2 linked regions of the Tamandua tetradactyla genome follow. The protein of the gene in region 1 purifies or fractionates together with the protein of each later gene. This does not show direct contact. Links are inferred from orthologs where the notes say so. Each region holds a gene or a part of one and is shown on either strand. Other genes may lie near its edges.

Evidence for each region. The genes of interacting proteins can lie anywhere in the genome.
Region 2: the proteins of P4HA2 (region 1) and COL1A1 purify together in Homo sapiens (co-immunoprecipitation; 3 studies listed by BioGRID and IntAct, counting the BioPlex papers as one, with this or other methods). This does not show direct contact. The link is inferred for Tamandua tetradactyla from reciprocal best matches to the Homo sapiens genes P4HA2 and COL1A1.

The regions. Positions count from the first base shown.
Region 1 is NC_135346.1:10,879,952-10,886,842, forward strand, and holds the start of P4HA2 (prolyl 4-hydroxylase subunit alpha-2), read right to left. Parts: upstream 3,009-6,891; 5' UTR 3,003-3,008; intron 1-3,002. Other genes in the region: PDLIM4 (PDZ and LIM domain protein 4), read left to right, coding at 6,812-6,891. UniProt on the Homo sapiens protein: Catalyzes the post-translational formation of 4-hydroxyproline in -Xaa-Pro-Gly- sequences in collagens and other proteins.
Region 2 is NC_135332.1:31,352,357-31,360,045, forward strand, and holds the start of COL1A1 (collagen alpha-1(I) chain), read right to left. Parts: upstream 3,007-7,689; 5' UTR 2,863-3,006; coding exon 2,766-2,862; intron 1,292-2,765; coding exon 1,097-1,291; intron 972-1,096; coding exon 937-971; intron 833-936; coding exon 797-832; intron 688-796; coding exon 586-687; intron 1-585. UniProt on the Homo sapiens protein: Type I collagen is a member of group I collagen (fibrillar forming collagen).

The sequences.
Region 1 (6,891 bases):
GAGCATTTTGATTGGTCCCATGGAGATGTGACCCACCCAATTGTGGGTGGTAACTTTTGATTAGATGATTTCCAATGAGATGTGTCTCCATCCATTGAAAGTGGAGTTGCTTACTGTAATCCTTTAAAAGAGGAAATATTTTGGAGAGAGTCCCTTTTGTAGAGCCACGAGAAAGCCAGCAGATGCTGCCATGTTTGCCATGTACGCTTCCAGCTGAGAGAGAAACATGAACTTCATTGGCCTTCTTGAGCCAAGGTATCTTTCCCTGGATGCCTTTGATTGGACATTTCTATAGACTTGTTTTAATTGGGACATTTTCTCGGACTTAGAACTGTAAACTAGCAACTTGTTAAATTCCCTTTTTTAAAAGCCATTCTGTTTCTGGTATATTGCATTCCGGCAGCTAGCAAACTAGAGCACCTTGCAACAGGATTCTGGAGGCTCTCCATCTCTCCCTGGCTCTGGAATACAATGGTTCTCTGAGAGAATGCTTGTGTTCCTTCTCCAGGCCAACAACACTTCATGTTTGGATGCCCAATGTCACAGCTTTTTGCAGTCAGCTTGTCCTGACCCTAGACACAGTTACTTCTCAGGACCTGCTGACCCAGAGTGCTGGGCAGGACTCATTCCAACACTCAGTGCATCTCTAACCCAAATCCACCTTTTTCCCATCCTCTTCCCTGAGATGAGGCAGCTCCTTATTTAACTGTTGGTACAGAAAAGTTCTCATTATACCTTCTCTTGAAGGGATCCTGGCTTTTTGAAAGGAAGAGGGTGGTCTCTACTGTCCTAGCTCCTACTAATATGGTGACATCCCAGGCAGCAATCAATCTGATCCTCACCCTCTTGGTGACGATCAAGTCACACAGATTCTCTCGCCGTTATGGGTGAGTATGGGAGATGTCGGGTGTGTGGAATTCAGCCCCCACCAGACACTTAGGACTCTCATCCCAACCAGTGGAGGCTGAGTCTGCACAGCTATCAACCTAGCCCTGGAAGGGGCAGTGGGAAAGGATTTTGAAGATTCTATGGCTTTAGGAAAACGGCCACCCAAGGCATGAATCTGTCTCATGGGCCCCGCTCCAGCATTCTTCTGGTGGACCTCAAACAGCCTCACAAAGCTTCACCCCCGAAGACCTGGCTCCAGCTCTTCCTGCTGTAATCCCCATGGCCCCCTGCACCTGGATTCCCAGACCCCTGGGCCAGCTGGCAGCTGCTGGACTCCTCTGCCTGTGGCATGTCTCTGCCCCACAATCCCAGCAACCCGGGTGGCCAGGCTCACACCAAGTGGCCACAGCTGGAGAGTCCGGCAGCCAGGCCCAGAGGTCAGGTCAACCTGAACAGTCCCCGCCAGCCTGTGACAGCCAGGAGAGGCACCGCAGTCACCACTGGGCAGTAACTACAGGAGCGTGTTGCAGGAGAATGGGCCAGCCAGAGGAGATAGAAAGGGTGGAGCCAGGGGCATGCTGGAGATAGGCCTATGCCAGCTGAACTCCTGAGGGAGCTTTGCTGCCTCCACCAAGCTACACTGTGGCCCCTTGGGGACAGATGACAGCAGCTTAGTGTATACCAGTGATCCTGGCGGCTGGGAACTCTGGAGATCCACCCTGAGGACAACGGCCAGGCATCCTGGAATTTAAATCTTTGCAGTGATCTCCACCTGAAGCTACACATTTTGCATATATGTTACAAATGTTTTCTATTCAACACAGCCCTAAAACAGCACCTGGCGCAAGGGAGGCTCTCAAAAATATCTACTGAATAAACGAACTAACAAAAGCATAAATAACACGTGCCATAACTCTTGAAACATTATTTTCACATTTCTTCCATTTTCATTTTACTGGGGGCCTAGAAATAGGGTAAGTGGCCTGGACCTCTCCAGGCCTCTGAATGGCCTACATGTAAGTTCCAGCAGCCTAGACACAAGGAGTGTCCTCAACCAGGAAATCTGACCGCCCTGGCCAGGCCACTGCAGCGCGTGGGGTCCGTGGATGTGTGAACGGGGGTGGCGCTAAAGCTGTGCTGTGGACAGTGGGCCAGCCGGGCCCTGTCGTGTGACCCAAGCTGACAGACGAGCGGCCACAATTGTGTGAGGAACTCCAGATGCAGCTGGAGTTCTGTGCTGCATCCAGGCATGTTTTCTCTTTGTCCCCCTTGCACTTTTGGTTGAGTCTTACCAGCACCAGTAGCCTCATCTCTCTCTCCTGGGCTGCGAAGGGCAGGGTCCTATACCCCTGCTTTTGTCTGAGCACGGTCAAAGTTCAGGGCAGGACCAAGACTGTCCAGGGCCCGGGATGAGCACAGCCCAGCGGCCTGTAAAGCAGGCGCCTTCTCCTCACAGGGACTAGGGGCTGGCGGGGCCTCCAGCTACAGGGCGAGCTGGAAGCCTGAGAACCACTGGGATGGGTCTCTACCCAGGGGCTCCAGGTGGAAGGGGGAAGTTGGCGGGGATGCTGGGCAGGCTGCCTGCACCCTCACCTAGGCTCCCTCACCTGCATGAGGGTGGGGGCCCTGCGAGGACGGGGAGGGGTCTCCTGCGGGGCAGGGGCGGGGCTCTCGGGGCCTCTGGAAGCTGTCTCCCTGAGGCCTCAGTTGCACAACACTCACAGGGCCACACTGCCGGCGCTGACAGGCTGTTCTACCACTTCCGTGCCTGGGCTGGGAGGGGCCCCTCTGGCTCTCCCCGCTGTGCGGGGCCATTTCTCCCAACACCCTCCACTCCCAGGCCACGGGGCAGGGCCTCGCTGGGCTCAGCTGGGCAAACCTGTCCCCACCCTGCTGTGTGGCAGCCCCTTGGTTGGGTCCCAGAGCAGACGGGTTTTCTCTGTGAAAACAGAGATGAAGCAGGTCTGACGAGGATGCCGTGGGGAGGGCACAGAAGGTGGGGACAGGTCTGCTCCCGGCCACAGGGGCATGGCTTCATGTCGCCAGCATGGGTCTGAGCCCCAGCCCTGGCACTCAAGAGCCGTGTGAGGTTGGGGAAAAGGGGACTTACTCACCCCCTGAGGCTCAGTTTCCTGAAGTGAATCAGATCTACTTTCCCTCTCAGGGAAGCCAGTTGTGTCTGCTCTGGGACCTGGCTCAGGACCAGCAGTCAGGCTCCTGCTGGCAGAATCCGCCGCGCTCCCCTTCGGGCCCTCAAAGACCGGCTCCCTCCATGGCGCCCGGCCTCCCAGCCCCCCAAGGAGGCATGGCAGCCAGGGGCCCCCACCATGCCCTCTGCACCTAGTTGGCCAGTTGTAGGCTGGGCACCCAACAAGTATTTGTTGAGGGATCGAATGGCACAGGCCTGAAGCTAGGAAACTCCCTTTGTCCCAGGCACGCCCTCCACTGTGTGTTTTGTCACACCAAATACAGATAAAACGCCAGCTTTGTTGCTACCTTGACTGAGTCCCTCCTCCCAGAGGTTCCTAGGAGTCAGCCCCATCCCACCCACAGGCTGCACCCTCTGACTTTTGGACTTTGCCTGGAGCCCTGCCCCCACCCCACCCCACTTCCTCCACCCCTTTTAGAGCCTGCTCAGGGCCTGGGGTGGTCCAAGACCCCAGCATACTCCAGCACCAAAGGGGCAAGGCCCAGCTTTGTAGGAGCACACACGGCTCCTCCATCCAGCTCTGTCCTTGGGACTCACAGGCTCTCCACCTAGAGAGCAGTCCCCTGGGTGGCAGAGGCCAGGAAGCCCAGAGGTGGGCCAGACGGGCCTCACAATGGTGGGGGATTCTCCAGTTGTCTCCTCTGAGGCCCTGGGGAATTCAGGCTTTGGGCTGGGAAGGGACAGGACTGGACCTTGAAGGAGGGAGGTATAGGCTCCAAGGAGCTGAGCTTGAGCGGGGCAGACCCCACCCAGAGATGTATGGCCAGGGGGTTAGGGAAACGCAAGGCAGGGTCTGAGTTCTCTGGCCAACCCCATTTCCCTGCAGGGAGGCATCCTGGAGTGTGCACTGCCCCTTTAGCCCCACCCCGTCTCCCACCCAGGACTGCTCCCACTCCCGGGTTGGTCCTGGGTTGACCTTGCCCTCAGCCTGACATTGCTGCACTGCCCCCTCTCCCCAGGCTCAGCCCAAAGGCATCTCCCAAGGGTGCCTGCTCCTGCTGGAGCCTGCCAACCCAGCCTGCCCTGTGAGGAAAGAGATCCGTGGCTTCTCCTGACCTTGAACAGGCCTGACCCCATAGCGAGGGTGTGGGCATCACGCCTGGAGCCACTTGGGGCTCCCCTGAAGGACACGGCCAATGGGTGTGGCCTCCTAGGTGGTGGGAGCAGAAGTCCTTGCCCACCTATTCCCCTCATTGCCTCCCTGGCCAAGGAGGAGATGAGATAATTTACATAACAGTGATAATGTTAATCATGAGAAATGTTTCTAAACTTCTGTGTGCCGGACTCTGTGCTGGGAGCTGGAGAAACATAAGTAAATAAGAGAGACACAGACCAACCCCAGCCTGGGCCGGCACAGGCCTTGGCAAATGGAGAGCACTCAATACGGATTTGTTGAATGAATGAAGAACGCATGAAATGAGCTGTCTGGTTAGCCCCAGCAGCTCAGATGGTGGGCTGGGCAGTGAACAGGTGACGGCCGCCAGCGTGGAGGGGACACATGACCCGATTACCCGGCCCACACCATGGAGAAGCTTCTGGAGCTGTGACTGCCTGTGGCTTGGAGCCCCAGCATCACGCACCCAGCCGCCCAGGAAACCCCCAAGACCCCACACGACAAGCACATAAGTAGGGAAAGGGTTCCTGGCAGAAGTATTGGGGAGGAGTTGGAGAAGCCAGAGAACCTGCAGCTGGTCTGACCTGTGGTCCAGGACCCCAGCATACTCGAGGAATGGGCCTACGGTGTAGGCTGTAGGAAGGGCTGCCCCAGACCCCAGCAGCATAGCCTGGCCCGGGCGCCAACCCTGGGAGAGGGCACAGTTAGAAGTGGGCCTCTGATGTGCTCTCACATCAGGATTGTCTTCAAGAGCCCACAGTAAAGGGTGGCTGGCCTAGACCTCACATCCCACATCAGCCCGATGGGCCCCAGAAACTGCACAATGAAAAGGAAATTTTAGGTACCAGATTCTAGAGAGGTACTCACCACCCCACCTTTATGCCCATCCTGTGAGAGAAGCTGTTGGAGGTGGACTGCCCTGCTCAGAGGTTGGGCAACCAGGAAGGTCACCTTCGGGGGGAACCATTTTTGGACCCCTCCCCAGACAGAAGTAAACAGGAAAGCAGTGGGGGGATTGCAAGGTGGGTAGGGGGATTTCAGCAGTTCCTGGGGTTGTGTAAATTGGGAGAAGGAAGCACCTGAGGGGAAGTTTCAGGAATCCACTGTGGGATGCCCTGGGTAGAAGGGCTCACCACCCCACCTGCAACTAAAGCTCTGCACCATTTAGCGCCTCCGACTACCAGCCATGCTGTGCACCTAGCTAAGTGTTGTTTGCTCCCCTCCCCCATCCCATTCAGTGGAATCAAGTCCTGGGGTACTTTGGCCCGAGGGCCTCAGAAAAGACATCCAGAAACTAACTCTCCCACTGGCCCTTCTACCTCTGTCCCCATGGGACCCAAACCTGAAAGAAGCTGAGCAGAAACCTGCTCCGTCACACAATGCTGGGAGCCCAATGGCCAGCACTGTGTGAGCCCAGACACCCCACCAAACACACACATCTGCCACACACACACCTACCACACACACCTGCCACACACACACCGCTCAGGCCGTTCTTTCCCAGCTGAGCAGACAGCTGCAGTCTGCCTCCCACAGAGGCACCCGCATCCCACCTTGAAGGGCCCCTCATCTGGCCCCCTGCCCTGGGCTTGGACCCCACAAGGAGCTCTCCTCGTTGGAGGGTATGAGAGACCTGGTGGGTGCATCTCGCCCCACAGCCTATAAGCCTTGTCAGGGTCTGGAAGAGCACACAGTGTCACCCTGATGTGGCCAGATACAGGTGCCCAGGAGAGCCAGAGAAGGGAAGGCAGGGCCCCGGCCAGACAGCAGCACCTGCGAACACTGCCCAAGGACCTCCCGTGAAGAGTGGTCAAGAGTAGAGACCAGGAAAGGCCCCAAATGAAGGAGTGAATGCGCTTCCACTCCCCTCACTGTGGTACTGTGACACTGGCGCCAGCCGCCGTAGCTACTCTACTTCACGGAAGCCTGGGGAAACAAAGCCCCTTGCAAAGGAGGAGAGAGGGGGGCTGTCCACAACTGGGAGGATGACCTAGGAGGGAAAGGCCAAACAAGACCCCAGTGTCCTGGGATAACGGAGACACCTTGCTTCTCGACTCAAGTCAGGGGTCACCTCCTCCCGGCAGCCTTCCTGGCCTTCCCAAAGGGGATCCCTTTCCGTCCCCACTCCCAGGTTTGGTCCTGCCTGCCGTTTTCCTGGGTCTGTGTCCCCGACCCAGCTTGCGAGGGCTGTTTAGAAATTTGCGGGCCAGAACCTTGAAAAGGTTTCTAAGCAAGGCGAGGCCCCATCCCCCAGCAGGGCAGCTCCTCCATCCCTCCTCGGGCAGGGGCGCCGCCCCATAGAACGACTTCAAAGGGCCTAGTGCTTTGAGCTTCCGCGGTCGGGCTCAGGTCCACGGCCCGCGGGGCAGAAGCCCGGGTGGGGGGGATTCCGGGCTGCGGGCGGCCGGGGCTGAGGGGCGGGTCCTCAGAGCCCCCCGAGGTGGGCGGGGCGGGCCGGGCCGCGGGGCCAATCGCGGCGCGCGGGCAGCGGGGCGGGGGCCGGGGCGACGGGGGCGGGCGGCCCGGGGGCGGGGCCCGGGCGGCGGCGACGACGGCTCCTCAGTGTCCGGCTCCGGCTCCGGCTGCGGCTCCGGCCCGCGATGCCCCACTCGGTGACCCTGCGCGGCCCTTCGCCCTGGGGCTTCCGCCTGGTGGGCGGCCGAGACTTCAGCGCGCCCCT
Region 2 (7,689 bases), on another chromosome or scaffold:
ATAGTCCTGCAAAAAAAGTGCATCGCCTGAATCTAATCATGAGGACACTTCAGAGAAACCCAAATTGAGAGACGATCTACAAAACATTTGGCCTATACTCTTCAGAAAGAACCAGTGTTGAGAAAGGCAAAGAAAGGCTGATGTATGCCCCAGATTAAAATAAACTAAAGAGACATGACAATTCAATGAAATTCATGATCCTGGATTGTACAAAAATTGTTATAAAAGACATTGCTGGGACATTGACGATATTTGAATATAGACTATTTTAGATAATAGTATTGTATCTATGTTAAATGTAGTCATGTGCTATGGTCATGTAAGAGAATGCTCTTGTTTTTAAGAGATGCACACTGAAGTATTTTGGAAGAAAGAGGCATGATACCGCCAATTTTCAAAGGGTTCAGAAAAAATAATGATAATGCATATACATACAGACTGATAAAGCAAATGTGCAAAATGAGAGGTCTTTGCACTATTTTCGCAACTTTTCTGTAAGTTTGAAATTATTTCGTCTGTAAAAAAAAAAGTGTAGAGGGAAAGGAGCAGACAGAAGCCTTCCAGATGCCTCCACTCTCCACTTACTCCGCCAAGGCCAGGGGGTCCGGGGGGCCCAGGAGGTCCGGGAGGTCCGGGAAGTCCAGGCTGTCCAGGGATACCATCTCGGCCTGGAGGGCCTGCGGGTCCCTAAGGGAGAAGAGTTTGGGGGCGGGGTGAATGTCGGCCAGAGGCCACGCCCACCTGCAGCCATCCAATGGAGAGCTAGAGAGAGCGAGCAAGCTTGCGCAAGGCTTACCTTCGGGCCTCGTGGGCCGGTGTCTCCTTTAGGTCCCTATGAGGTTGGGGGAGAAGAAACAAAAGAGGTCGAGTTAGAGAAGGGCGGGCAGTGAGGAATCACGGCGGGTGGGGTGGCAAAATTCGAGGGCAAAGGATTACCTCGATTCCTGTGGTTTCTTGGTCGGTAGGTGACTCTAGGGGGAGAATGAGAGGCGGGTTAGAGGCAGACGCCTCCAAGGCGGGTTAGAGGCAGACGCCTGCAAGGCGCAGCGCCAGGGAGCGGCCCCGCCCTCCCCCAGCCCCGGGGCCGGAGCTCTACCATTGCGATCGGGGCAGACGGGACAGCACTCGCCCAAGGGGATATGGGCGCCGGGACAGTCCTGGCTTTCGCTGCATTTCACTTCATCACACAGCACTTTGCCGTTGTCGCAGACACAGATCTGGCAGGGCTCAGGTTTCCATACGTCTCGGTTATTGTACGTGATGCTATTTTGTATGCAGGTGACTGATGGGACTGAAGCAAGAGGGGGGCTGTCAGGGGTGCCCGAGACTTCCACCTCGGGGCCCCAACCCTCTTTCCCTCTACCCTAGAGACACATTTAGATTTTCCACTTCCCTCCTTATGCTCGACTCTCCCGCCTCCCCACCCACCCCCACCTTTCTCCAAATCCTTAAAAGCTCATCTGCTCCCCATCAGAGCCAGTGACAACGCCGAGGCTCCTGGCCAGCATAGCTATAACTCTTTCCAGTTCTCAGGAATTTAAACAAAACTTTAGGCGAGGGTTGCCCTCAACTCTAACCTCAGCCCATTGGTGCAGAAGCCAAGTGAAATAAAAAGCCGTTGGGGGTGGGTGGGGGGAGGAGAGAACAGGAACCGTCCTATCCAAAGGGCAGGCTTGCGGGGAGTGGTTTGGGGGAGACAGTAAGGGGGTTGGGTGGGAGGAGAGGAGGGAGCTCCAGTCCCCATTTCGCCCTGTTCCCTGGGCAGGTGGGGTGGCGTGGGCGGAGCTAGAGGAATGGGGAGGGGCTTATAGGAGTGGGGTCCCACCCAGAGACTTGAAATTGTACCCTAGAGTTAGTATATATCATAATCTCCAGAGCCAAGACATCTCAGAGCTCTCGAGGCCAACCTCCGTCTCCTAAAGGCAGACAGACCCTCTGGGTCACTTCTTAGCCAAAAAAACGAAAAGTCCGCAAGCAAACGAATCAGTTGGTTAACCACGCCCACCGCGCAAGCAACTACCCAGACCGCCACTAGGTGGCGGGCAACTCTAAGCAATGGGGACGTGGCGGGGCCAATTTCCTGGGATTCTTTTGAGTCAGAGGGCTATGTGGTCCCCGGCCTCTTGCTCCGGGTCTAGAGATGGAGTCCACGCCTGGCAATAACCCCTGTGTTTCCGACCCGGAACCTGCGCCCGGAAACGCTGAACAGAGAGGCGCAGTGCTGAGCACTGGTCAGCAGAGGACGCAAGGACCCCACCTTGCCAAGACCTCGCCAAAGTTTCTCAGCCTCCAGCCCGCCCACTCTCCGCGCCCCCTCCTCCCGCGTGTCTAGCCTGCAGAGAGGGCAAACAAACTTTCCTTATGAATCATCCCACAGCCATCCTGATCGCTTTTACGTCTTGGGCTCCAACCCCCCGGTTCGGCGCCCCCACCCTATTTTCAACGCGTCCCGCACTCCCCCTGCAGCCAGACCCCCCACTTTTCCTATTGCACTCGGCGGTGCGCCCTCGGGACTTCCCCCCCTGCGCCTGTTTGCGCCGCGCTTCATCCTTATCTCCCACTCCTGAGGGGAGTTCCTCCCCACCTCCCACCCCCGAGGGGAACTCCCTTCTCGCCCGGGGCGCCGGGGAAGGGTGCCTCACTATCTCCCTTCCATTCCCAAGTATCCAGAACATCTCGAGTCTCAAGTTAAGTGGCGGACCCTCGGGGCCGAGCGCAGGGCGCGATACTAAGCAGCCGTGTACTCCCGAAAGTTTGGGACTTACTGTCTTCGTCTTGGTTTTCGCCCTCCTCTTGGCCGTGCGTCAGGAGGGCAGTGGCCGCTAAGAGGAGCAGGAGCCGGAGGTCCACAAAGCTGAACATGTCTAGACCCTAGACATGTAGACTCTTTGCGGCTGGGGTAGGGGGTTAGCGCCCACTCATGCGTGGCCTCACACTCCGCGTGCCTCCTGCTCCGACCCCGAGGAGAAACTCCCGTCTGCTCCGATGGCCAGCCCGGGCCCCTTTTATACCATCCAGACCCGACGCTGGGAGGAACCCTGACCGTCGGGGAGGGGGAGCCCTCCGCCCGCCCCCCAGCCAATCACAGCTGCCTGGCCCGGCCCCCGATTCGGGAGTTGGAATAGAGAGGGGGAGGAAGAGGGAAGGAAAGGGAAGGGAGTCCACCCCGCATCTCCCCCCTTCGCAGCACTGCTTCCCCAGCCCCCCAGCCCAGCCTGGGCCAGAGATATCGCCGCTGGGGTGCGGCCGGGTCCTCAGTGTAGTGTGGGCTAAGGAGTGGGTGGGGGAGCCCCTTTGCTGTTCTCTCTGGAACTCCCAATCGGCCCGAAGGGCAATTGGGGAGCTGGGTGGCCAACCCCCCAAAAGTAAGAGGGCTGGGGATGACTGGGAGAGGTCCTCCTGGTCCAGCTCATCCACCTTCCGACACAGATAAGGAGACATCTGGGGAAAAGCCAGGGGACCTCTCCAAAGGAGGAGAATCAAGGAATTAAAAAGATGTCCCTCGTTGGGGTGTCTTCTGGTACGGTTGGGGTATGGAGCTTGGGAACATTTGAGGAACAAGTTAGAGATTCTAGACACTGAGAATCAGGTTGGGGGGGATGCCAAGGGGATTTTCATTTGAGGATGTCACTTCTGCCGTGCCTGAGGCTAGAAGACGGGCGGGCTCCAGTGTCCTCCCCCAAATCCTGGGCGCGATTGTGAGAGATGGAGTGGCAAGACCAAGGCACTGGGTGAGAAATGTGACTACATGGTGTCTCCAGAAGGAAGCTTTGGTGATGGGGCCCTGGGGTTGGGGTGTGTGTGCTAGGGCTGCTTCACCCAGAGTTGGGGAGTGAGCTTGGGGGGGGTGGGGCGACACCATAATCATTGTGTGAGGGGCTTGTGGCCAGGGACTGGTTAGAGACCCTCCCACCCAGCATAGTCAAACCAGAAAGAACTTGGGTGAAGAATGCTTGACCAAGGAAGGTGCCCCTTCTGGAAGCTGCATAGCCCCTTCTCCGGTTGAACCTGGACTCAGGGTTCCAGGTGTATGGGAGACCTGGGGTGTCTGGGGGAGGTTTGAAGTGGAATGCAGGAGAGGTTGAGTGACCTCATGGAGATGTTTCCCATCACCCCACCTCCTGCCTTAAAATCCAGACCATTGTTCTCTGCCTCTGGAGCCAGGAAAGAGTCATCTGGACCCTGAAAGGGAGTCGGGGGCTACTTTGGAAATGAGAAGTGGTTTCCTAGGCTATATTTGGGAGAGATACCTCCAGAAGTAAGTGTCTGCCTTCCCCAGATATTCTAACCTCCCAGCAGGGTTCTAGACCAACTCCAGTCTAACCAGGCCCCATCATCCTGCCCAATCTGTGGACCTAAGTGAGGGCAACGGGGCCCCTCTGCAATGCCCCGTCAGCTCCTCTCCCTCCTGCATGACTCCCCTACCCCCACTAGCTTCAGAGCTGCAAACGTGGAAGCGGGGAGTCACGCCTCCCCCAAACCATCCAAGATTCCATTGCTTCCCCCCCCCACCCCGCCCCTTTCCACACCCTCCCCCAGCTGGTTTTGTGCAACGAAGGCAAAGGGGGGAAAAAACCAAAAGAACAGAAGGGGAGGGAGCCACGTCGGCCATGGGCAGCCAGGATGAGCGGTACGGGTGGGGCAATGGAGGGAGACTGCAGGGGCTATAATTAAAGGGAAAATATAGTTTCCAGAGAGGCAGGGCTGGAGACAGCAATGGGGGGACAGACCTTCAGCAATTATCCTGACCATGTGGCAGCAGCTTGTGGCCCAGCAACTGCTCCCCCCAGCCACCCAGTGCCAGCGACAGCAGCATAGGTCCAGATACCTGAGGCGCTGAGATGGCCGTTGTTGGACCAACCCGTAGTCCTGCCCCCCACTAAGGATCAGTCCCAAGGGGCGCGCCCCTCACCCAGGGAGCAGAGGGAGCTGACATTTGGGGCGGTCACCCAGGCAGGGTGTCGGGGGGGGGGGGGCTCCGTGAGGAGGGGTGTGGCCCGCGCACCCCCCCCCCCCCCCCCCCCCGCAATGCTGAAGCTGTGGAGCCAGAAGGGCTCCTGCCTGCAGCTGTCTCCCCGTGCGCCCCGCCTGGGGCTCGCCCATGCCCACCTTAAAGAAGAGACAAGCCTCAGAGGTGGGGCTTAGGGCTGCCACATCATGGGTCTGGCGGTCTGGGGGGCGTTTGGAGACCCAGGGGCTCAGGAGTGAGTGGGCTGTGAGTGTGGTGTGTGACAGTTTCCACGCCAGTGTCCAGTTCCCGGCCTCACTCCCAGAGGCTGCAGCAGACGTTCCCAAGCATCCTTTACACGTGGCAAAGAGCTGAAGCCCAGGCTCTCCTTTGCCACTTTTTGACTTAAAACACTTGGCAGACACCCAGCCCGAAGATGTGTCTTTAATTTTTGCAGCATGACAGTGAGAGGAAGAATGTGCTTGGGGTCTCCTCCCAGCCTGGCTGGGCCTCCTTGGCCTGGACTGAGGACTGGAGACTGGGGGCGGGGTGGGGGGTGGGGAGGCGGGGAGCGTGGGCCCAATCGGGGAGGAGACGCCACCTCATCTTTAGGAAACTCTGAAGCTCTGGCTTCGGGTGGAATGTAAGACTTTGTCTGGCACTTGGGGGCGGGGGGTGAGCAAAAGCCAAAATCTCCTCTCCCCCCTGAAGAAATGGTAAAGTCATCAGCATTAGGAAAAAAATTCCTCAAAAAGAAAAACAGAAAGAGGAAAGTGCTGAGCTCTGAGTTCTCTCCCTCTCCAGATTTCCCTGTGTACCCCTCCCCCTGAGAAGGAGGGGCAGGGCTGTGTCCCCCAGCATCCCTGCTCCTGTGGAGTCCCTGCGGGGGGGGCAGGTCTGACTCCTTGGTGCTGGACAAGGGAGATGAGCCCTCTGAGCGAGAGGAGAGCAAGGGAGGGAGTGGAAGAGGGAGGCTGCGGTGGAGACCATGGGGTGAAGCTCCCCAGGGCGTCCACCCTGGAGCCCTGCCTGGTGTCCTGTGGAGGGGCCTGGGGTAGACCCCACGTGCGTGGGCCCTCTCTTCTTTCACGGCCTATGCCCTGAGGTCCCTTAGCTAAGCAGCTTAGCTTCCAGCATTCGGGCTTGGAGCTTTCTATGCCTCAGCCTCAGACCCAAGGCCTTGGACCTTCTGAGAGTTTCCTCCGTCCCTCCATTCCTCCTTTCCAGGTTCAGGGGGAGATGAATTCAGTTTTGCCCTTGTTGGGTGTTGGGTGCCTGTGAGATACTGAATAGGAAATGGGGAGAAAACCCTTGGGTGTCGGGGTCCGTGAGTCCAGGGAGACTGAAGCCGTGGGGCTGGAGGGACAGTGCGTGGAGAAAGCAGAGGTGAGGGGCTAGGACGGAGCCTGCAGGGTTGGGTGGAGGAGGAGGAGCCCAGCATGCGACACTGGGAGAGTGGCCAGAGAAGTAGGAGGGCAAGGAAGAGAGGGGTGTGGGTGTCATGAATGCCGAGGAAAGAGAGGGTTCTAGAAGGAGAGAGAATTCTATGCTGCAGAGAGAACTAGTACAACAAAGAATAAAATCTTCACCGAATTGAGCAGCATGACGGGGACTAGAGACCTAGGTGTGAGCTGTTAGAGTGATGGGCGAGGAAACCAGCTGGGAGTGGACTGAGGCGTGAGGAGGGGTGGGATGGAGTCAGACAGCAGACTACCCCTCGGAGGAGGCTGTGAGGGCAGCAGAGAGAAGATGCCTCAGCCTCCCTGCCTCCTTCTCCTCTTTTTCTTTCTTTCCCTAGGCTTTCCCCACTCCCTACTCCTTTCTTTCTTTCCCTCCCCTGCCTCCCTCCTCTCTCTCTGCTGTGTGATCTCTCTTCCTGCTCCATCCTCCCCATCTCTGGAGCCTCTATTTCTGGATTTCTGGTTTGTCCTGTTTTTCCCTCTTCTCCCTTTTCTCTTCTTCACAAGTGACCTGAGCCCTCAAATATCTTCACCCAGGTTCAGGCTCTACCTCATTCTCCCGTAGTGTGAGCCCTGAGTCCAGACCCTTGGAGATAAGCCTTGATTTCCAGTCCTGGCCAGACCCCTGCCCCATTCTCCAGGACACACACGCGCGCGCGCACACACACACACACACACATGCACGCACACACACATGCGCACACACACGCACACATGCATGCGCACACGCACGCGCGCGCACACACACACACATACACGCACACACGCGCACATACACGCGCGCGCGCGCACGCACACACACACATGCACGCACGCGCACACACACGCACGCACACACACACACGCGCGCACACGCGGACACACACACACATCATCCAAAGGGGGACCCCTGGGGAAGGAGGAACCGGGGAGGGAGGTGGGATGGGCAGGAGCGGGAAGGGCCTGGACGTGACCTGGGTATGCAAACTGACCGGTGGGGGGGTGCTGTCGGGAGCCCCTCGTCCTCACTGGGTGTACTCACCCCGCCTGAGTGCCCCACCCATCTTGCCTTCTGCAGGGTCAGTTCCCCAAGACAGGGGGACCTGCTGGGTCCTTCAGTGTGTCCCCAGACCCCTTCACAGTGGAGGTAGAGAAGGTTCTCATTAAAGAGGTTGGTTCAGAGAACTAATTGAAATTTTATTTATCCCTTTATGGCTTTAAGTTTGCACTCATTTCATCCCATCCCCTTTCTTCCTTTCCTTCTTACTTTTTTATCTTTTTCCTTTCTTCACCACCCCCTCC